Linked DNA regions of Schizosaccharomyces pombe. The protein of the gene in region 3 interacts with the protein of the main gene of each other region in a biochemical or structural test. Each region holds a gene or a part of one and is shown on either strand. Other genes may lie near its edges.

Region 1 (9,028 bases), on a different chromosome or scaffold from region 3:
CTGGTGTGCGTTTGCTGGACTTGATACTACGGCTACTGAATTGGCTGTCTGTGAATCTATATTTAAACTTCAAGATGCTCAACCTTCTGCTATTATAAGCAACAGAGACACTCTTGTTGAGTCTTATACATAAGCAGTCGGTGTGAGCTAACTAAAAAATTATTGATCAGGATTTATGAGTTTGGATAATTCATCCTACGTGATATTTTCCTATTAAAGTTTTAATGTTGATACGTTATACGTATGTATCTGGTTATAAAATTTTTGATATGCCTTTCGGTTTAATAGTCCTATCCATTGTGGTACCCAAGCTTCCTATTGTAGAAATTTACAATACAAGTTTTTTATAGACCATTATAACACTTAAGGGACTTCCGTAATCGTGTTTATTTTTATTATGTCAAATAGATTTTGAAAATGCTTTTATTGCTTTGCTTTTTGTCTGTTCTTAACACATTCGGATTTGTTAAGCTATTCTCGCTTATAGAGTAGAGCTTCTTGCTAACGCTGCATGAGACTTCGTACTTCAATTTACGTGTTTTATTAAGTAGTTTGCAGCCTTTATATTAAAAATGATCTAATAAATATACTTTCTTTTCAGTCTTTGGTGACAAACTAGTTATGGAAAGTATTTCGATGTAGGTATTTTTTGACTGAAACCAATGCGTACTCCGCAAGCGAAATAAATATTTAAGAATAAATTAAGTTACCAAGTAACTATACAAAGTGGGGAAGTAGAATAGACTACAATACTCATAGATATTTATATTTAGCAGTAAATAAAACTCGTAAAAGATTGTCATTATCAGGATGTTTTGATTAAAACTTCCACGGAAACTAAGGCCCAGCTCCAAATTTTGAAAGTAAAACCCCTAATTAGGGAATAAATAAGTAGGCAGAGCACCTTGAAAAATAACTAGATATTAAACTTTAATACCATTTGGTACTTGATTTTCTTCGTCGCTCGAGTTCTGTACATCATTGTCGGCTACGTTGCCTACAGTGATCAAAGCTTGCTCAACACTTTCTTCTGCACTAGCAAGGTCGATGATACGACGCAAATAGGTAACATTACAATCATCTGGTATCTTTATTTTTTCAAGAGATGGAGATTCCTCAAAACTATCTTGTAGTCTATAATCCAACACTTCGTAAGTAAGTTGTTCCCTTTGATTGATGCCTTCAGCAACAATATTTTTGGACAATTCAGACATAGTTTTTTTCGGTACATGAGCCTCGTAGTCAGCATAGTCATAACGATGTAAGAGTGTTTTTATTTGCAGAAAATTAAGAGCATAAAAGTCGCGGACCCTGGCCACATAATTTGGATCATCTTTCACAAATTGTAGTATCTTGGAGGTTTGTAAAAGCTCTTCGAGCTGCAAATAAGCTTCCGGAACACCACTTTCTAGACACCAATCCTTAAGAACATGATAATTGTATGAAATATTGGTACCACGTTTCCAAGATCCACGTTCATCAATAAAAAGTGAATTGAATGCCTCCACATTAATGAATCGATATATGCTTCTAATCAATGCATTATATATTTCATAATTAACTTTATAGGCCTGACAAGAATCATGCACCTTATTTAGTACATGTATTACATCGGTGATTTTGTATTTTGGTTTCTCAAAAAATTTAATCCGTAGTTTTCGATTCTCATCTCCAGCATCCGTATTTGTACCAGTAATAATCATTGCCTGAACAATCAATGGCTTTAAAAAATTATTGACTTGCCTAACCCATTCGAAAAAGATTTTTGACAGATGTGATTCAATCATCTCAAAAATGGTTTGCACTGATTCATGAGATTCGGTGGATAAAAGAGTGAAAGCCGAGGAATGTTTAAACGCCTGCTGCTTAGTATAAACAAAAGCCAAGAGCGCATGTGTATTTGCAACCCAAAATCCGATGTCAGGTCTCTCATTAGCAGATGATGTCTTTTGAAATACGTATTCTAAAGTGTGGACACAGTAACGCTCAACCAAGGCAACACTTTCCTGACACAGATTTGATTTCCACATTTGTGATATTATTATAAAAAGTAGTTTTGCTAAAAACAAATGATCAAGTTTCTGAGCCTCAACATCGTTGTCCTTTAGTAATAGAGTTTTAAGAGTTGTAAATGTTCTACCTGCATATTCTGTGAGTTTGTCAAGATCGTGCTTCAAGCCATCGTTCATTAATAGCACAAGCATCTCTTTTTGAGTACGCATTTCCATCAATGAACTATCACGACGTGATTTCTCTTCCGAATTGCGCGACTGTTCGATACTAGAGGCCGAATTCAGTATTTTAGTGGCTTTTGTCAGACTAGCAATTATCCTGTTTTTCTCTTTCAACTGAGAGGTTTGCTCAACAATAATCATATCGTAATTTTTAAGCTGCGACTTCAAAGTTGCATTTACTCTTAAAAGTTCGGTATTCGCATCGTTGACTTGCCTCATCTCCTCTTCCATCATAATCAAAGCGTTTTCTTTCTCTTCAAGTAACTCCTTTAATTCCCCATCTTGAGATTGATCCGATATAAGTACCCTAGTTTGCTCAAGTTCTCTTTCTTGTGCTAACTTTGCTTCAGCATAGTTGGACAGATGAGACTCCAATTCAGCGATTCTTTCCCTGAACTTGTTATTTTCCTGCTCCGAGTTGTCCAACTGTTTTGAAATCTCAAACAATCTGCTTTCAAGCCTGTAAGATACTTGCTTAAGGTGACTCGCTTTAGTGGATTCAATTTTTAATTCTGTCAATTGTCGCTTTGCAAGTTTCATCCTCCAAAGAGACTGGATACGAACTGCATAATATTGTAGTTCTTTGTAGTGCTTATGGGCTTTAAATGTTAACCAAAGACTTTGAATAATTAATGTTGCATCATGCTTTGTCTTTTCCTCTAAAGTCTGTCTTAATAAAAAGCCTCTAATTATACTTTGCACTTTAAGTATAGAATTTTTCGTTTGTATGAATTCTTTTCTCTTTAATGCAGTTCTCCAAAGTGACTGAAGTTTAATAATATTGGAAGAAAGTAATTCGTACTCCGTATGGCGACGAGATAAGAAACCATGAGCAACGGCTTGAAAGCTCCTGACTCTCTTCCGAGACAGAAGAAAACGAGTCCTATAGTAATTAACAGCAAACGCTTCATACAAAAGATGTGCTGCATGTTTCAAAGCTTTGTCTCTCGCACTCTCTAAAAGGGGCGTCACACCTGAACGAAAAAATATTTTAGTTTTGCCAATTTGATATTTAGTCGGATCAGCATGTTTCTCTAAAATTGCCTTGCTAAAGGTCAAAGACTCCGTAGTTCTTACGGCAGAGGGAACCAACATGTAATAACGAGAAACAAACTCATCAAAAGTCCAACGGGAGGGAAAACCAGCACAAGATATTTTTATAGTTTCTAAAACACCGCATGCTCGTAACTGAGAAACCACCATTTGGTTATCAAATTTCCAGGCTTCTTTCTCTTCATTTGGCTTGATACAACGAATATAATGAGCATTAGTTTCGTTGATGGTACTCATTAGACTAACCAAAGAGCTTTTAAACATTGAACCAAGAGTATTACTTTTTGGCTTGGTTTTTATTTTTTTGGTATCGGCTGGGGGTGCAGTTTGTTCAAGACGGAATAAAACCAGATCCTTGACAAAGGGAACGTCTGAATTTGTAAAAAGCTCCAACAACTCATCGGATATTGTATCACGGTTTTTATCAATAAATCCTTCGGCACAGTAAACAACGTCAAGAGCATAATGCTTAATTGTAAACTCCTTGTTACCAAACCTTGATTTCTGATAACTATTTTTGAATTCTGGCTTGGAGAATGCATCGTTCAACTTACTAACCCAATTTTCATCGCTGTTCGTGGGCATTCGGCATTCTTCGTCTAAAAGGGAAAGAATCCCTAAACGACTCTCAATCATGCTAATACATTGCTGATTGTCTTGATAATCAATATAGGACCAGTTAAGTCCCTCAGCAGCATACTCCTCCTGTTCCAGTTTGAAAACATGGCGATAAAATTCCTGTTGAAGTTTTTCGTTCGCATAATTGATGCAAAACTGTTCAAATGAATTTTTTTTAAAGTGCTCGAACCCATAAATATCTAGAACACCAATAAAACTTTTAGCCGTCTGGTTCGATTTATCAGCTGAGTACATCAAGGCTTTATTAATAGTAGCTACCAGCCAGTCGAAGAGTGAAGCGTAAAGGAATTTCGCTACTGAGTCTCTAGCTACTACAGCTTGAAATTCGTTCAATGGTTTCAAAATACCTTCAGAGGCCATCTTTATTTTACGCTTCGTTAACCATTTCACCAATGAAGAAGGATCCACGCCCAACAATGAAGTAGCGTTTATCAGATTTTCGTTTTTTGAATCAATGTATGCATCATTCCTTGAATGCTTAACCTCTATGTTACCGATATGCAGCAATGCAGCTAATAAGCTAAATATGCATTCACATGTATCATTATCAATGCCAACTGTTTTTAATGCATCAACTGTAGCTTTAAATTCCTCTTTATCATTGACGCCCTCAATTGTAGAACAATTTCCCTGTTTTAAATAATTAAATTCTTGAGAATTCTCAACAAGTTTCCACTTTTCAAGTTGTTCCGAGGATGAACCAGCTAAAATCTGATAGAAAATATGATAATTTCTTTCTTGATTAGGCTGAAATACTAATCTTGATCTTTCTAAAAGATAAGTTTGAATTTTAGCACCAATGATTGTAGCATTTCCGTCGAACAAAATTTGAATATATTTACCAAAGCGAGAAGAATTGTCATTTCTAGAAGTTTTAGAATTACCAAAAGCCTCCATAATCGGATTTGTAGCAAGTATCTCATTCTCGACAGCAGTTAATTGTGGAGCTTCATGAAAATTGGAATCGGTGGATTGAATAAGTGCTTGCACAGAAGCAAAATACCGCATTATGTATCTTGCGGAAACAGTTTTTCCTGCTCCTGACTCACCAGATATAATAATAGTTTGATTTTTATGCTCTTGATTCATGCACTTGTAGCTATCTTCAGCAATAGCATAGAGATGGGGATCTAGCTCATCCCGAGATTTCTCCGAATAAGCACGTACTATTTCGTGAGTGTACAAATTTGGCAGTCTCTGAAAAGGATTTACTGCGATAAGGACAATGCCAGAATACGTATAAATTTGAAGTTGGTTGTACCTTGTTGACAAAGCATCCAACACTGACGGCTCATTTAGGTATGAAAGATCAGTAAGGTCATCAGCATCCGAGTTAATGGATCGAAGAAACGGGAGGCCGTTTCTTCCTTCATAATTTAAATCGTCTGGCTTCACTGTAATAACAGTTTCCTAACAAGATCACATTAGCTAATTAATCTCAATTGACCCAAAAGGGATACCAAAGAAAATAATAATTTTCGTACGTTTTCGTTTTCATCTTGTACCGTTAAGAAAGCTTTCTCACCTTCAACTCGACAATCCTTTATGCTTCCAGGGATCCATTGGCTTTGCTCATCTGGAATCCAGCATTGACTACATTTCGCAACAACAACATTAGCAGGATCCTTTAAAGACGATTCTAATAAACTTACAGTCCCTTGTAATAAATCCCCGATGTCATGACCGGTAGAAATTACAAGACTCCCCGAACGCCTAATTTAAACTAAACACAGCGTTTTGTTTACACACAAAAATAGATGTTTGCTCAAAAAATGTCGCAAAACAATATGCAAATGCTAAAACTAATAGAAAAAAAGTTTACTAACGCGTTTACGTTATTTCAAAACTTTCTTCTTTACTTATGGAAAATACTCGTTCTCTGCTGATGTTAATATGGAGATGACTTCGCTGAGACAAAGTAATATGAAAAGCGAATTATGCAATTTGATAAAAGCGCATAGTGGTTTCACTAAAGTTCATAAAACCTCAAATAAGAATCAAACTTTTACCATTAAGAAATCACGCTATGTTATGATATGTTAACTATCACTATTTATTATGTTTTTAACTTTCAAGGTTGGCTTTGTTGAAAAGTACAATTAACATTTCACATTTCAATACGGCTAGTGAGTTAGTTTTTTGCTTCAGAATTACTATAATTGTTATTTCAATTATCAAGTATATAAGTTATTATAATATTAAATAATGTTAAGTTGAGCGTAAGAATATTTATTACCAATCGTAGTAAACATACATAAGATTATAAAAAATTGCAATAGAAACTCAACTACTTCATCGTATTTAAAAACAGTTGTCTGTTTACTATGCAATTTTGTAATTATTTTAACGATACGTAGTAATGCGGTGAGCTTTCCTTGCGACCTATAATATTGTAATACATAGGTTATAAAAGTAACAATCAAGTATAGGTATTATAATATAAAGGGTATATTGTTATCTATCACAAATGTAGCTTATTGCTGAACCTCTTTCCTCAGTTCAGTAGTAGCTATCTTTTATAGTATTCTAATAGCAAGAATCTTTATCGAACATCATTAAGATCAATTTCAATATCGTATCATCTATGGTACGATGACAAGTAGAACATGTGACATATAGTGACACTCGACGTAATGTATGATAGCGTAGTGCAGTTTTACTGGCATATTATCGAACTGCATTGCTGATATTAATAACTAATACCGAGCTAGCTACGATTTTTATCAGAAAACAGTATGCTAAATAAGGCAAACTAGTGCGGCTTAGAATTACTAGTAAAAGAGGAGGTAAGATGGTACAAACATGTAAATAATACCATTCAAAATCAACGGTTTGAGCAACACAATGGATTTCTAACAGTAAAACATCAGATAAAAAAAACAGAATATTATATATATCATAATTCTTTCGTTTTGATAGATAATTTCGTGCTCTCGTTATATATTCTTGTACGAGAATGATTTACTAAAACCGTTTGGAAACAGGGATATTTTCATAAAAAAAGCAACTAATAATCTAACGCTTTGACTCAAAGACAAATTCGATTTAGATAGTATATGTTTCTGTTTTCTCTTCAAAGAAACTCAGAAGATGATTACTCTCAAAATGGAGCATCAATACTAAATATTAATTAATTGGGCTATGATTTCGATTAAAAAAGAATTACAAAAGTAAAAAGTCTATAAAAGACATGTTTCTTCGAGATGAGAAGATGTTTTGGAAAATGTATAGTCTGCAGCATAAACCCAAAAGAGAAAAGAAGAATTATAAATGCATTTACATATTTTTAGGCCAAACTAATTATGAAAAACCAAATAAGGTAACTTAGTTAATAAAATTTATAAGGAATCAAGTTACTCAATACTTTTAGAACGTCTCAATTACAAACAAAAAAATGATAAACCTTCGACGTAACAACAGCTTCCCTCAAATCAATTATTTTTAACACACTTAAGAAAAAAAAATATGTATTTCATTACGTTCAACATCATAATAAACGCATCCCCTCCGCTTCCAAAATTTTGGGTAAACAAACAAACAAACATCGCTTATATAAGAACCTTCTCGGTAGAGATATTGATCCTTTAACACACACGGCTGAAGTGATTTAGTAAGCAAAGAAGTAAATTATCTTTTCTATAAGTATCGTTTATGCTTAATTGTAAAGACTTTTGAGCACAACGCATGCGTATGGTCGATGAACCATCAAAATGGTGTCTAGATTTTTTTCTTGGACGTAAGGAAATATTAAGAAGGAGAAAGGTTACGCAGATTATGAAGATTATTGACCCCTTTTTTTTAGAAACGAAAAAGTGAGTATACCTTTCCATGGCGAGTGAAACTGAGCCGATGTAGTGTTTGTTCAAAATACTCAAAACAACGAACGAAAAGAAAGGAATTGTATTACTGACCTTATTAGCCATTGGGAGACCAAAGAGCACACTTGCCTGATAGTTTTCTTGAACTTGAGCAAGAAATAGCGATTCGAGAAGAAGGTGAGTAAATATGCTGCAGACAAAGTTTCTTAACATAATGTAGGACTATCTAAACTATTTCAAGCAACGACAATATGGATTGATTCAATTTGTAAGTAGAGATACATTGACGCCAAAACAATTATTTTACTGTTAACAAAATAATTAGTAAAAAAGGTCGATGGTGAGGATAAAGAAAAATGTCTTGCTTGTGAAAATCTAGGGAAAGTGATGATAAATCATTCAAAAGAGTTACCACAAGACTCAAGCTATGGTAGGTAAGAAAAGCCTTCTGCCTCTATTAACTCATAGGGATCACCTTGTCGCAATTAGGAAAAGCCAATCTAAAGATTGGAGAACATCAAACGTCTTTAGCATACAAAGCGAGAGTATGTTATCTCGATTTTTTAAAACGTTATCTAGTACAAGCCAAGGATTTTCATTCTGCAAGAAAAAAATTGGAAAGCCGAAGACAAGCATACGAATCTCTCCTACAAAAGTCTTTTAAAGAAAAGAAGGAAGATTCGCGTTTAGAAGAAGATATTCGCCTGGCGCTGTACAAGTTCGAAGAATCCACCGAGCAAGTAAAGAATCGGATGATCGCATTAAAAGACGTTGAGGCTGATCAGTACCAACAATTAACAGAACTAATTGTTTATGAGCTAAACTTCTTTAAAGAGTCGACTGGTATTTTAAATACAATATTCAACTCTCAAAACTCATTGACGCCTCAGAAAAAGATCCAAAGTAGCGAAAGAAGCGTTGAAAATGAATTTCTTGCATCACCCATGGATCCATCACTTAGTAAGTTATTTACTAAGACCACTAATACTGAAAAAATATCACCAACACCGTTTTCTACTCCGAAAAGGTAAGTTTAAAGAGTAAAAAAATTTTTTTAAATACGCTGACCAATAGAAAATCGAAAAAGGAAACAGTTTTCGTCAAAGCAATTTATTCATTTACGGGAAGGAATGAAAAAGAGCTCGATTTGCACACAGGGGATGTCATTCAGGTGAGCGAACAACTTGGACCGGATTGGTACATGGGCGAGAAGGTAAATAGTAAGGCAGAAAAACTTGGGAATTCAGGAATGTTTCCTGTAAACTATTGCACTAGGATATATGA
Region 2 (6,319 bases), 1.6 Mb from region 3:
TTCAAAAGAAACATAAGCTAGCAGCGAGCCAGTAGTGGTAAAAACCCTAGTTTGTTAATACCTCAGAATATTTCAACAATAAACTTATATATCTAAGCTCCAAAATAGTACAGGTGTACCCACTGGATTTGAAGTAAGAATGAACTTCAAATTCACTAAATGCTTACATGATAGACGGTACAGTTTCCTCAACTGCCTGTTTCATCAACGACGACAACTTCTTTGGCTTAATCATCTTCGAATTTAAACTTAGATAGCAGTAAAGGTAGCAATATGTATTTTAAAGTCCAATCGGCAATAACGATTTAACCTGTTTTGAATGGTGGTTATAAGTAGTTTGTAAGCTACGCAGTTTGGTATCTGATTTAAGGATACGTAGAACTGCGGTGAGTTTTCCTTGTGGTCTATTATATTACAATACACAGGTTGTATAAGTAGCAACTGAGTATAGGTATTGTATTAACTGGGTTATAATGTTACCTATCACTAATATAGCTCATAACTGAACTGAGGAACGAGGTTCAGTTGTAACGCTATTTATAATATTTCTAAATAGTTGTTATCAACGGGTATCTATGTATATAGAAGGATAGTTACCCGTGATTATCAATAAACGGATCTTAGCTAGTATTCCAACATATGACATATAGTGATACGCAACGTAGTGTAGCATAGCGTAGTGTAGTATTGCTGACATAGTTGGACAATATACGGTGGACGTAATGTGTATTATGTTAAGTAATCTGATAATAAATAATATTGTTATAAGATTCCGAATATTTTATTAAAGTAAAAAATGTTAATCGACATATATACATTTTTATTTCTTTTTATTGTGTTTGAAAATTAGGGCTTGGTAGACCAACGTTCTCCCAACGAATGCTTTATTTAGAAAGCTGATTTGCATATGCAGTCCGTACTATTTGGGCCTACAGAGACTTACCATTAGTTACATATACAAATGATCTTCCCTTCATTATGAAATTAAAAAGCTAACTATTTTCTACAGTTTGAGAAAAAATGACTACGTTTCGTCGTGCAGCTTCAGAATTCCTCAAACATTAATTAGGATAAGGATTACCCAATACTAAAGGGACAAAAACGGGTTAAGATGTATCATAAAACAACACAAAGTTATCTATAATATGACATACCACTAATAACATAGCGAGTCAAAAGCGACGTACTCACTTCCGAAGTTGTTCGCAATATAAGTAATTAAATTGGGAAAAACACATGTGTTAAATCGTTTCGTTAAAAGCTATAGTTAAGTCGAAACAAATTATACGGCCATTAAACTGCCAATAAAATGAAGGACCAACCGAGGACGAACGGCCACAATATCTTCTGGCAAAATAAAGATTACGGCACCCAACTTTCTGGCGATAGAAATAGCAAGACGAGCTAAACGATGTGTTAGTAATGAAAATTAAAAATATATCAAATATATATACATACCATTTTGAATAGCAAGTTCTTCAGTAGAACCATCGGTAACAAGATTGTAATCAACATATTCGCTCTTAATTCCATGAAGTACGTCTAAGACGAACACACCAGTGGAAATAGAAGGATCACGGAATGAACGAATTTGAGAACCTTTACCACCTTTAGCAGCCATAGAATTGGCCCACGCAACCATGTCACTATCTGAAAGAGTTTTACCTCCACGGCTAAGACTATGTAGAGTTTTGGTAATGTTCATACGCATCATTTGCCAAACCAATGCTAAGGTGAGTGTACGAGAACCGTCAGTAATATCAGCACCTTGTATTCCTACCAAAGAAAAACCTTGATTTTTTCCAAGGTCCACTGCATAATTACAGTTTTCAACAGCTTTGAAACGCATCATTTCATCTCCAGATGCAGGTGCCTTGTTCACCTTTTTCCAGTTAACGGTATTAGGTGTGATTTTATCGTAAGCTTGCAACAAAATCAAGCCATCTCGTAAATTATTGAAGAAGTCATGAATGGATGGAGTAACATCAAGAGAGTTCAACCACAAGGTAAAAACACGTGCCTCACGCTCACCTTCTGCATCAAATGGTTCAATCTCCGGCTTTTCCTCTTCATTTAAAGGCTCCAAACCTGGATGAGTATTAAAGAGATGAGCAACAAAGGCAAGGTTAAGCTTAGGGTTCCCTGCAACCATAGCGGTAGGTGTAAGATATTTGCGGCAATCCAATTTTTCAGCATTCTGTAAAACCTGTTCAGCACGCTGCAAAACATCTGTAGTTTGAAGAGGAGCACGTGAACAGAGTTCGGGAGCTAATTGGTTGAGCAGCACAGTATAATTCTCGCCATCTGAAACATCTTTTGAGAAGTTAGAGACAGTACGCGGCCAATTGGCAGCCTTTAAGTGATAATTGAACCAGCGGAGAAGAATTTTCTCAGGAGGGAGACGGAGAAATTGGTCAAGGGTTTCATCCTCTTCGAGAAGGCGGTAAAGCTCGGGATGTAAAGTAATATCAATCTTTCCAAGGAGACCGCGGCGAATGATTTGCCAAACAAGACCAAGAATCAAATGTTCACGACCTTCTAAAATATCGCCGGCACCAATGTTGGTAATGGAGATACCACCCATAGCTTTTGCGGAGTTAATAACAACATTGTTATTTTCAATACATTTGAAATTATCAAGAGGCTTGTTATTTCTCTGTTTATTGAGTACACGCTCATCAATGGTGTCGGGAACGCTGTCATTAATTAACTTTGAGAGGATTAAACCATCTTTGCATTGATCGAAAAACTCAAAGGTTTCAGTGTTGATGGGGACTCGGGAACCAACATCAGGGTCTCCAGCTAAGACGGAATTAATATGCTTGATAAATTCTCTTCGCTCTTCCTCATTAATGGTATGAGAAACACTTGAGGAAGATCCTTTGATAGTAATCCGACCCTTTTTTACTTCAGTACCTTCTACACCTTTTTTTAAAACATTGAAAATCTATATGCATTAGTAATCCAATTGATGAAGCGATATAGAGACACATATCGTGAAAATTACGGAAAACATTACTTACTCCTACAAAGTCTTCGGGTTCAACACGTCCAGACGAATCAACGTTAACTTCACGAATTGCTTCACGGACCTCATCGTAAGAACCCTTCTTTGAATCTTCAAAGGCTTTAATAGTGGTAGGTTGATCTAAATATCCCTTTCCATCCACATCAAGTTTGTTAAATTGGTCGGTTAAGGTTAGAATTTCCTCATTAGTGAGCTCCGGATACTTCTTTTGAAGTTTAAGAGCTAACATTTCTTTAAAAGTAAAATTTGACCAAAAAATGTATAGTAAACGAAACCACACGATGTGTGCTTTGGGTGGCTTGCAGTTGCTACGTGACAAGGATTAACGTCGTGTTGTTGATGCACATACATCATACTTACAGAAGCGTAGAGCAAAACTTTGATCCGCTCGCTAAATGAGTTAATACACGTTTGCTTAGCCAATCTGTTAAAAGTTAATTTGCAATTGTAAAAAGTAATTTACTACTTGACGATGTCTTGCGTTGTAGCTTTAGATTGAATATATAGCTGGGATATCAACTACATTGAATTTTAATTTTTTTTACAGAATAAAAAGCTAAACGTAAGTCCATATCAAATTAGCGATATTACCGAATTCAAATGCCATAAACATCACAAACTAGCAAGCTCTTTCAATTGAAGTCAACTGATGCATCGACTTGAAAATTACTTAGTACTATATGTCAAGAAGCCAAAATTTCTACTTACTATGATAGTAGATCCTTTGTAAAACGTTGCAGAAAGTTTTTCCGGCCGTGAAAATTCGTGTTTTTTTTCTTTTGTTCAAGGGTTTAGGTCACTGAAGCCAACAATTTTTGATACAATATAAGAAAAAGAAGTAATTCCCGCTTTTAACTGCGCAATAGGATAAAAGATTAGCCAGATGTCACAGGGTTAAACTTTTAACCTGACTACCTTTTCACGTGTATTTCCAGTCTCGTTTATAAGCTGCAATATAAATATTGTATGATATTACTGCGTGCACCAAGATTCTCTTATATTATTTTCTTATAATCTACAAAACTCACAATACTACTATAACGATGCTTCAGAAGATTAGCTGTTCCGGTATTGTTGAAGCATGGTGAATTTCCTTTGCGGCTGCTGTTGTAAAATATTGTCTGACAACTATCCAAATAAAACCTATGGGATTTTTGCAAAAGGCAAACACTATTTTCATAGAGGCACCGCGTTGCAGGGATTTTCAGCAGAGATGATTCAATATTGCAATCAAACACAGTAGATATAAACATAACTTGAAAAGCTAATGAAATACATAAAACATAATTATATTAACCATAATATTCTTAACTTATTGGTTTCTTCAACACTTCCAACTTCAATGAAGCAACAAGTTAGAGGTTTAACTTCTCCACAACGCCAAAATTGCGACTTAGATGATAAAAATATTAAAGTCTAGATAGAGCTCAGAAACATCAAAAAAAACTATGGAATATGATGAGGAAGAAGTAAAAGTTTTGAAAGAAGTTTTAAGCGCGTTCTTTTTGTACAGGCAATATGCTCATACAATAACACAACAGAAGAGAAAATCGATGAGCAGGTTGTCTTTTGAACACAAGGACTTACTCTTACAGGACTCTGACAACAATTTTTTAAAGCATCTTTCAAGGATTGATCAATGTATCGAGCAGAACAGCGTGCTTGCTGAAGCAATCGCTAACGCAGCCATTCCTGTGTTCTGCAGTGATTTCGATCAAAATGAGTTATTTCATGTCAATGTTGATATGATGCAAAAAGTTTCAAGCACTCTCAAGCAAATTGCGAGAGATTGGTCGACCGAATGTGTTGAGGAACGCCGTACTACATATGCTCCTTTCATCGAGGAACTAAATTCACTTTTCCCATCTGATTCTATAGACAGATCTAAAATTCGTGTACTTGTTCCAGGTTCCGGCTTAGGAAGATTGGCCTTTGATATAGCTGTGGAAGGTAGGTACACTTGATACTATCAATCAAAAATAGCATGATTTATTATTTATCTGATTACATGTTTTCTAACTTCTTTCTAAATTTGGATTTTTGGACATAGCTTCTAACATTTAATAGGCTTTGCATGCCAAGGAAATGAGTTCTCATATTTTATGCTTTTAACGTCGCATTTCATACTGAATTGCGTAAAGCAGGAAAATCAGTTTCTTGTGTATCCTTATATTCATTCATTTTCGAACCATGTCATGCGTGATGACCAGGTGCGTTCATTAAATATTCCTGATGCAGTTCCCTCTCAATATCTGCGGAATTCACAAAACTTTTCAATGGCAGCCGGGGATTTCCTGGAGGTATACGGCACCGAAGAAAGTCGTGATTCGTTTCAAGTAGTAGCTACCTGCTTCTTTATAGACACTACAAAAAACATACTGGACTATTTGGATACAATTAAAAACTGTTTGGTAGATGGAGGTTATTGGATAAATCTCGGGCCTTTATTGTATCATTTTGAGTCAGAAGGTACTTCTAATTCTAACAGTGATAGCCAGCAACAACCTTTCGTTGAATTGACTCTCGAGCAGCTGTTTTACGTGATGGATAGTATGGGATTTGAGGTTTTAAAGCACAATTCGGTCGACACGACTTATATGGGGGACAAACGAAGTATGCTTGAATGGATATACCATCCTCATTATTGGGTCTGCCGTTTGCAAAAATCAAAATTACGATTTCAATAAAAATTTTTGAACCAACATTGAATATTACGACTTTAATCATTCAAATATTCCTTTAGCATAATTAACAAAGCTAATTGATAACTTGTACATGAAAGTAAAGCGATTATTTTTGCATCTACTATCTACGTATAAAACTGCCTACATTAAATAAGCCATTCGTACGCTTCAAAAACTTTATAAGCCGCATTTGAAATAAAGGAAACGGAAAAACATAAAGGCTTTGAAATACAGTATGAGCCAAATTATTAATTAATAGACTCACAAAGCTTTGTTCATAAAACGTCTCTTGCTGAAGCAAGTCCACCACTTGCTGGGATGATCCTTTTCAGTTGCATATACATGGGACAAAAGACGATAAGCAAGTTCCTGACGAAATTGAGTAAGATATGTACGCATTATTTCTTTTTTTAATAGTTAGCAAATGAAAAAAAAAGCAAGAAAGCTATTAGCGGCACAAACATCTATATGTCTAATGCCACAGTTTGGGTGAATCTTACCAGCATCTTGAGGAGAAAGGGGAGGAGCATATAATGCATTCAAGGGAAAGCCAGCAGAGCCAGGAATAGAAAAATTCTCCAACGCTAAACTATTAAGTTGACGTTCA
Region 3 (4,074 bases):
TTTTTCATCAACATCATTTAACGTTCGTTTTAATGCGTCTATACTCTGTCACGAGTTCAGGCACCGGGTCTTGGCCATCCTTTTTCATACATGTTCTGCAAATTTCGATGGATCTTTTCTTTCCATGTTTCAGCAGCAACTTATTTTATTTAATATGGTTAACATTTTTCTCTTATTCTTTGAACAATGGTTTTAATATTATCATAATACTACAAAAAAAAATAATAATCTCTTGTAATAATATATGTTGACGAAACAATTCTAAATAAAGTCATAGGAATGTAATATCATTGGATTTGTTTATACAGAGAGGCGTCGTCAGTCCAAATTACTTTGTCACTATATATTAATCGCTCAACTATACAACTGGCTAATCGGGCTCCATCTCCTACAGCTTCATAATTCACTACTTCCTCTCTTTTTATATTTGAAGAACACTAATCATACCAATGTCTTACAATTTATAAGAATTTTACCTCAACTATACTATCCAACAATGATCATATACCATGTATGTATTAAATCTTTTTTTGACCTAATAAACTTTTGCTAATACTAATGTAAAACACATTCAACCATTTGGCTTCAAAGTTATACAAGTTCAGGTACCAATTAAATCAGTACTGAAGATGATACAACTCTACAGGACGAAAAGAAATGGCTGATGAAGTACATTGCACCACTTCCGCTTCTAACTATCTCGCAGTTACCACCTTGTACAAAATAAAATTCGTAAAAATTAACGGGAGTAAGTAAAATTCATTTACTACAGTTCTTTAATCGATAATCACAGCGATAAACATAACGAAAATATCGACAAAAATAATCGGCCGGACTCGAGAAGAAACATGTTAAAGAAAACGGGAAGTTATAAGCGAATGAAGTAACATCATAGGTATCTACTGGAAATATTTCTGTAACTTCAATATGTAAAAGGCTAGCTCTGCATTCGTCTATAATGAAAAAAAGAAAACAGAGCAAGAAAACGATAGTAATCAGAAAGTATATAAAACACTCCAATAATTGATACCCAAAGTTCCTCATGAGATGTTAAGAGCGGAAAAAGGTGGTTAAATAGGTAAAAAAAGATTGAAATTTATATATATCAGAAGAATCGATGTTATTCAAAAGTATGTAAAAAACGTTACAAAAAGTAAGAGGAGCTTAGAAGCACTTACGGTAAACGATACCAGGTCCGCTCTCATCATACTCTTGCTTGGAGATCCACATCTGTTGGAAAGTAGAAAGAGAAGCAAGAATGGATCCACCAATCCAGACAGAGTATTTACGCTCAGGAGGAGCAACAATCTTGACCTTCATGGAGCTAGGAGCAAGGGCTTGAATCTCCTTTTGCATACGATCGGCAATACCGGGATACATAGTGGTACCACCAGACATAACAACGTTACCGTACAAATCTTTACGAATATCAACATCACATTTCATGATAGAGTTGTAAGTAGCCTCATGAATACCGGCGTTTTCAAGACCCAAAGCTGAGGGTTGGAAAAGAGCTTCAGGGGCACGGAAACGCTCGTTTCCGATAGTGATAACTTGACCATCAGGAAGCTCATAAGATTTCTCAAGGGAGGAAGATTGAGCAGCAGTTTGAAGTTCTTGCTCAAAGTCCAAAGCGACGTAGCAAAGTTTCTCCTTGATGTCACGAACAATTTCACGTTCGGCGGTAGTAGAGAAAGTATAACCACGCTCCATGAGAATCTTCATAAGGTAGTCAGTCAAGTCACGACCGGCGAGATCAAGACGCATGATAGCATGAGGAAGAGCATAACCCTCATAAATGGGAACAGTGTGGGTAACACCATCACCAGAGTCCAAGACGATACCAGTGGTACGACCAGAGGCATACAAAGACAAAACAGCTTGAATAGCAACATAAAAGGCAGGTGCATTAAAGGTTTCGAAAATAATTTGAGTCATCTTCTCACGGTTGGATTTGGGGTTCAAAGGAGCCTCAGTCAACAAGCAAGGGTGCTCCTCAGGAGCAACACGAAGCTCGTTGTAGAAAGTGTGATGCCAAATCTTTTCCATATCATCCCAGTTGTTGACAATACCGTGCTCAATGGGGTACTTCAAGGTCAAAATACCACGCTTGCTTTGAGCTTCATCACCAACGTAGGAATCCTTTTGTCCCATACCTACCATAATACCATGGTGACGGGGTCTACCGACAATCGAGGGGAATACAGCTCTAGGGGCATCATCTCCAGCGAAACCGGCTTTGCACATACCAGAGCCATTATCAATAACCAACGCTGCGATTTCTTCTTCCATGGTCTTGTCTTTTGAGGGTTTTTTGGTTCGTTACAAAAAATGTAGTTGGTAAACGGTAAGTTATAACACGGCTGGCTGAGGTGGTATGAAGCCGTTGATTACATATAGATAAGATACACAGTTATACAGTGAAAATCTCTTATATATTTTAAAATATACATTTAAGTATAATGGGTGTTTAAATATGTATGAAATTGCTATATTTGAGCCACTTTTTTGATAAAGCCACACACAGCGTTAGCACTTCACGGCAGAATGCGCACGGAAGAAGACCGCGGAAACGGATAACATTGAGCAACCGGTTGTAGTACTGTAAGCGATATAGCAAATCCTTTAAAAGCTCTTATAAACATATAAGGAAATATAATTTCCGCGTTATTTAACTTGAAAAGCAAAAAACAAAAGAAAATGAAAGTTCACGATATCGAATATAAAAGAGATGGTCATAAAAATCTTATCAAAATTCACAGACAAATCTTCAAAGGTATTTCAAGTATTTGCAACTCGCGTGTCCCTATTTTATTAGTATTCATTCGACATTGTTATGATCAATAATTTAACACTAGCAAAAAAAAAGGTAATTTTTTTTTATCAAATGGCTATTAAATTACATCTAATTAAAAATTTCTCTTGATACAATGTATTATAGTTGGGTTGAATCGTATACTATAAAAATAATTAGTGATCAAAAGAATGAATATTAGTTTTAATCAAAGATAGATAAAAGTATAAGAATAATCATTAACATAAAAATTAAGATGTCATAAAATAAAAGAAAAATTCAGTAAAAACAACCCAAACACCGTCTCATTATCGTAGATCAAACACTAAAGAGCAAGCTGACTTTTACGATAGTGATAGAGCAATCCTCCAACAGCTACAAATTGACATATTAGTGCAATATAAAAGCAAGGTGATGCACAAGGTCCCGGTCCTTCGCTAGGATTCCATGCACCAAGATTTGGGAATACTCGATCACTTACAGGCAGAGAAGGTTTTGCGATCATAATTGTAATACAACTTATAACTTGCGCTAGCATCAACGTGAAAGCAACATGATCTCTCGCCAGGGTTTGCAGTAACATTACACCGACACCGACTCCCTGTATCCCGTCCCATAGAGCTAGCAAAAGCCATACTGACTTCGTCAGCAAGGCAGAAGCCTTACCAGCCCATGGTAAATTAATTCCGAGACCCGAGGATGACCAAAACTCTAAGCACCAGCGTGGACAAATGAGGCCCAATCCAAATATCACTGGAAACCAAACGTTATTAAGAGACAAAATCTTTATAACTGATAAGAGAACGGCCCAAACCACGATGAAGAAAATGAGTAAAAGAATGATTATGCTCCACAAAGGAGTGTTGCTAGTATTCCAGAAAAACCTCCAAGCCTGGCCATAAGGGACAGCAAGCCAGTAATTGATTAAAATTTGAGAGATAAAAAACCAAATTACAATATTTCGTTTTCCTAATGAACGATAAAACGCTGGAATGATAGAAGGAGCTTGGCGATAAAAAGCAGGTAAACCTGCGAATGTTACGTAGGAAAGCCCGAAGCAAATGAAAGAGGCGATAAGTCCCCCTGCAAAAATGCCAGGCCCCACATTTTGAGTCAAATCTTTCTTCGATAATAGATCTCCCCATGACCAGAGGATTGCAGACCAAATCTGTTGAATCCCATGTACAAGACAGGCCCTCAAAATCCAATGATGAGTTGCGATACCTCCTTCGGCACCAAAATTCCATGCAAAATACAGCGATCCAGTAGAACTTGAAATG

What was found.
Region 1: the proteins of act1 (region 3) and myo52 form a complex in vitro, tested with the Schizosaccharomyces pombe proteins (one study listed by BioGRID).
Region 2: the proteins of act1 (region 3) and fim1 form a complex in vitro, tested with the Schizosaccharomyces pombe proteins (one study listed by BioGRID).

Annotation. Positions count from the first base shown.
Region 1 is NC_003421.2:2,224,125-2,233,152, forward strand, and holds myo52 (myosin type V), read right to left. Parts: upstream 5,817-9,028; 5' UTR 5,608-5,816; coding exon 5,579-5,607; exon of another isoform or gene 5,520-5,578; coding exon 5,411-5,519; exon of another isoform or gene 5,402-5,410; intron 5,337-5,401; coding exon 924-5,336; 3' UTR 758-923; downstream 1-757. Other genes in the region: tif6 (translation initiation factor-like ribosome biogenesis protein), read left to right, coding at 1-133; BAR adaptor protein Mug137, read left to right, coding at 7,637-7,662, 7,729-7,738, 7,846-7,921, 7,965-8,012, 8,070-8,174, 8,213-8,771, 8,819-9,028. UniProt on the Schizosaccharomyces pombe protein: Involved in cell wall deposition where it has a role in the localization of mok1.
Region 2 is NC_003423.3:3,105,485-3,111,803, forward strand, and holds fim1 (fimbrin), read right to left. Parts: upstream 3,325-6,319; 5' UTR 3,258-3,324; coding exon 3,024-3,257; intron 2,948-3,023; coding exon 1,459-2,947; intron 1,405-1,458; coding exon 1,283-1,404; 3' UTR 758-1,282; downstream 1-757. Other genes in the region: guanyl-nucleotide exchange factor Lam2, read right to left, coding at 1-46, 168-235; SPOM_SPBC1778.07 (carnosine N-methyltransferase), read left to right, coding at 4,477-4,978, 5,096-5,715; arc3 (ARP2/3 actin-organizing complex subunit Arc21), read right to left, coding at 5,974-6,116, 6,213-6,319. UniProt on the Schizosaccharomyces pombe protein: Binds to actin, and functionally associates with actin structures involved in the development and maintenance of cell polarity. Plays a role in cytokinesis. Plays important roles in mating and in spore formation.
Region 3 is NC_003423.3:1,474,985-1,479,058, forward strand, and holds act1 (actin Act1), read right to left. Parts: upstream 2,350-4,074; 5' UTR 2,293-2,349; coding exon 1,165-2,292; 3' UTR 501-1,164; downstream 1-500. Other genes in the region: spore wall alpha-1,3-glucan synthase Mok12, read right to left, coding at 3,120-4,074. UniProt on the Schizosaccharomyces pombe protein: Actins are highly conserved proteins that are involved in various types of cell motility and are ubiquitously expressed in all eukaryotic cells.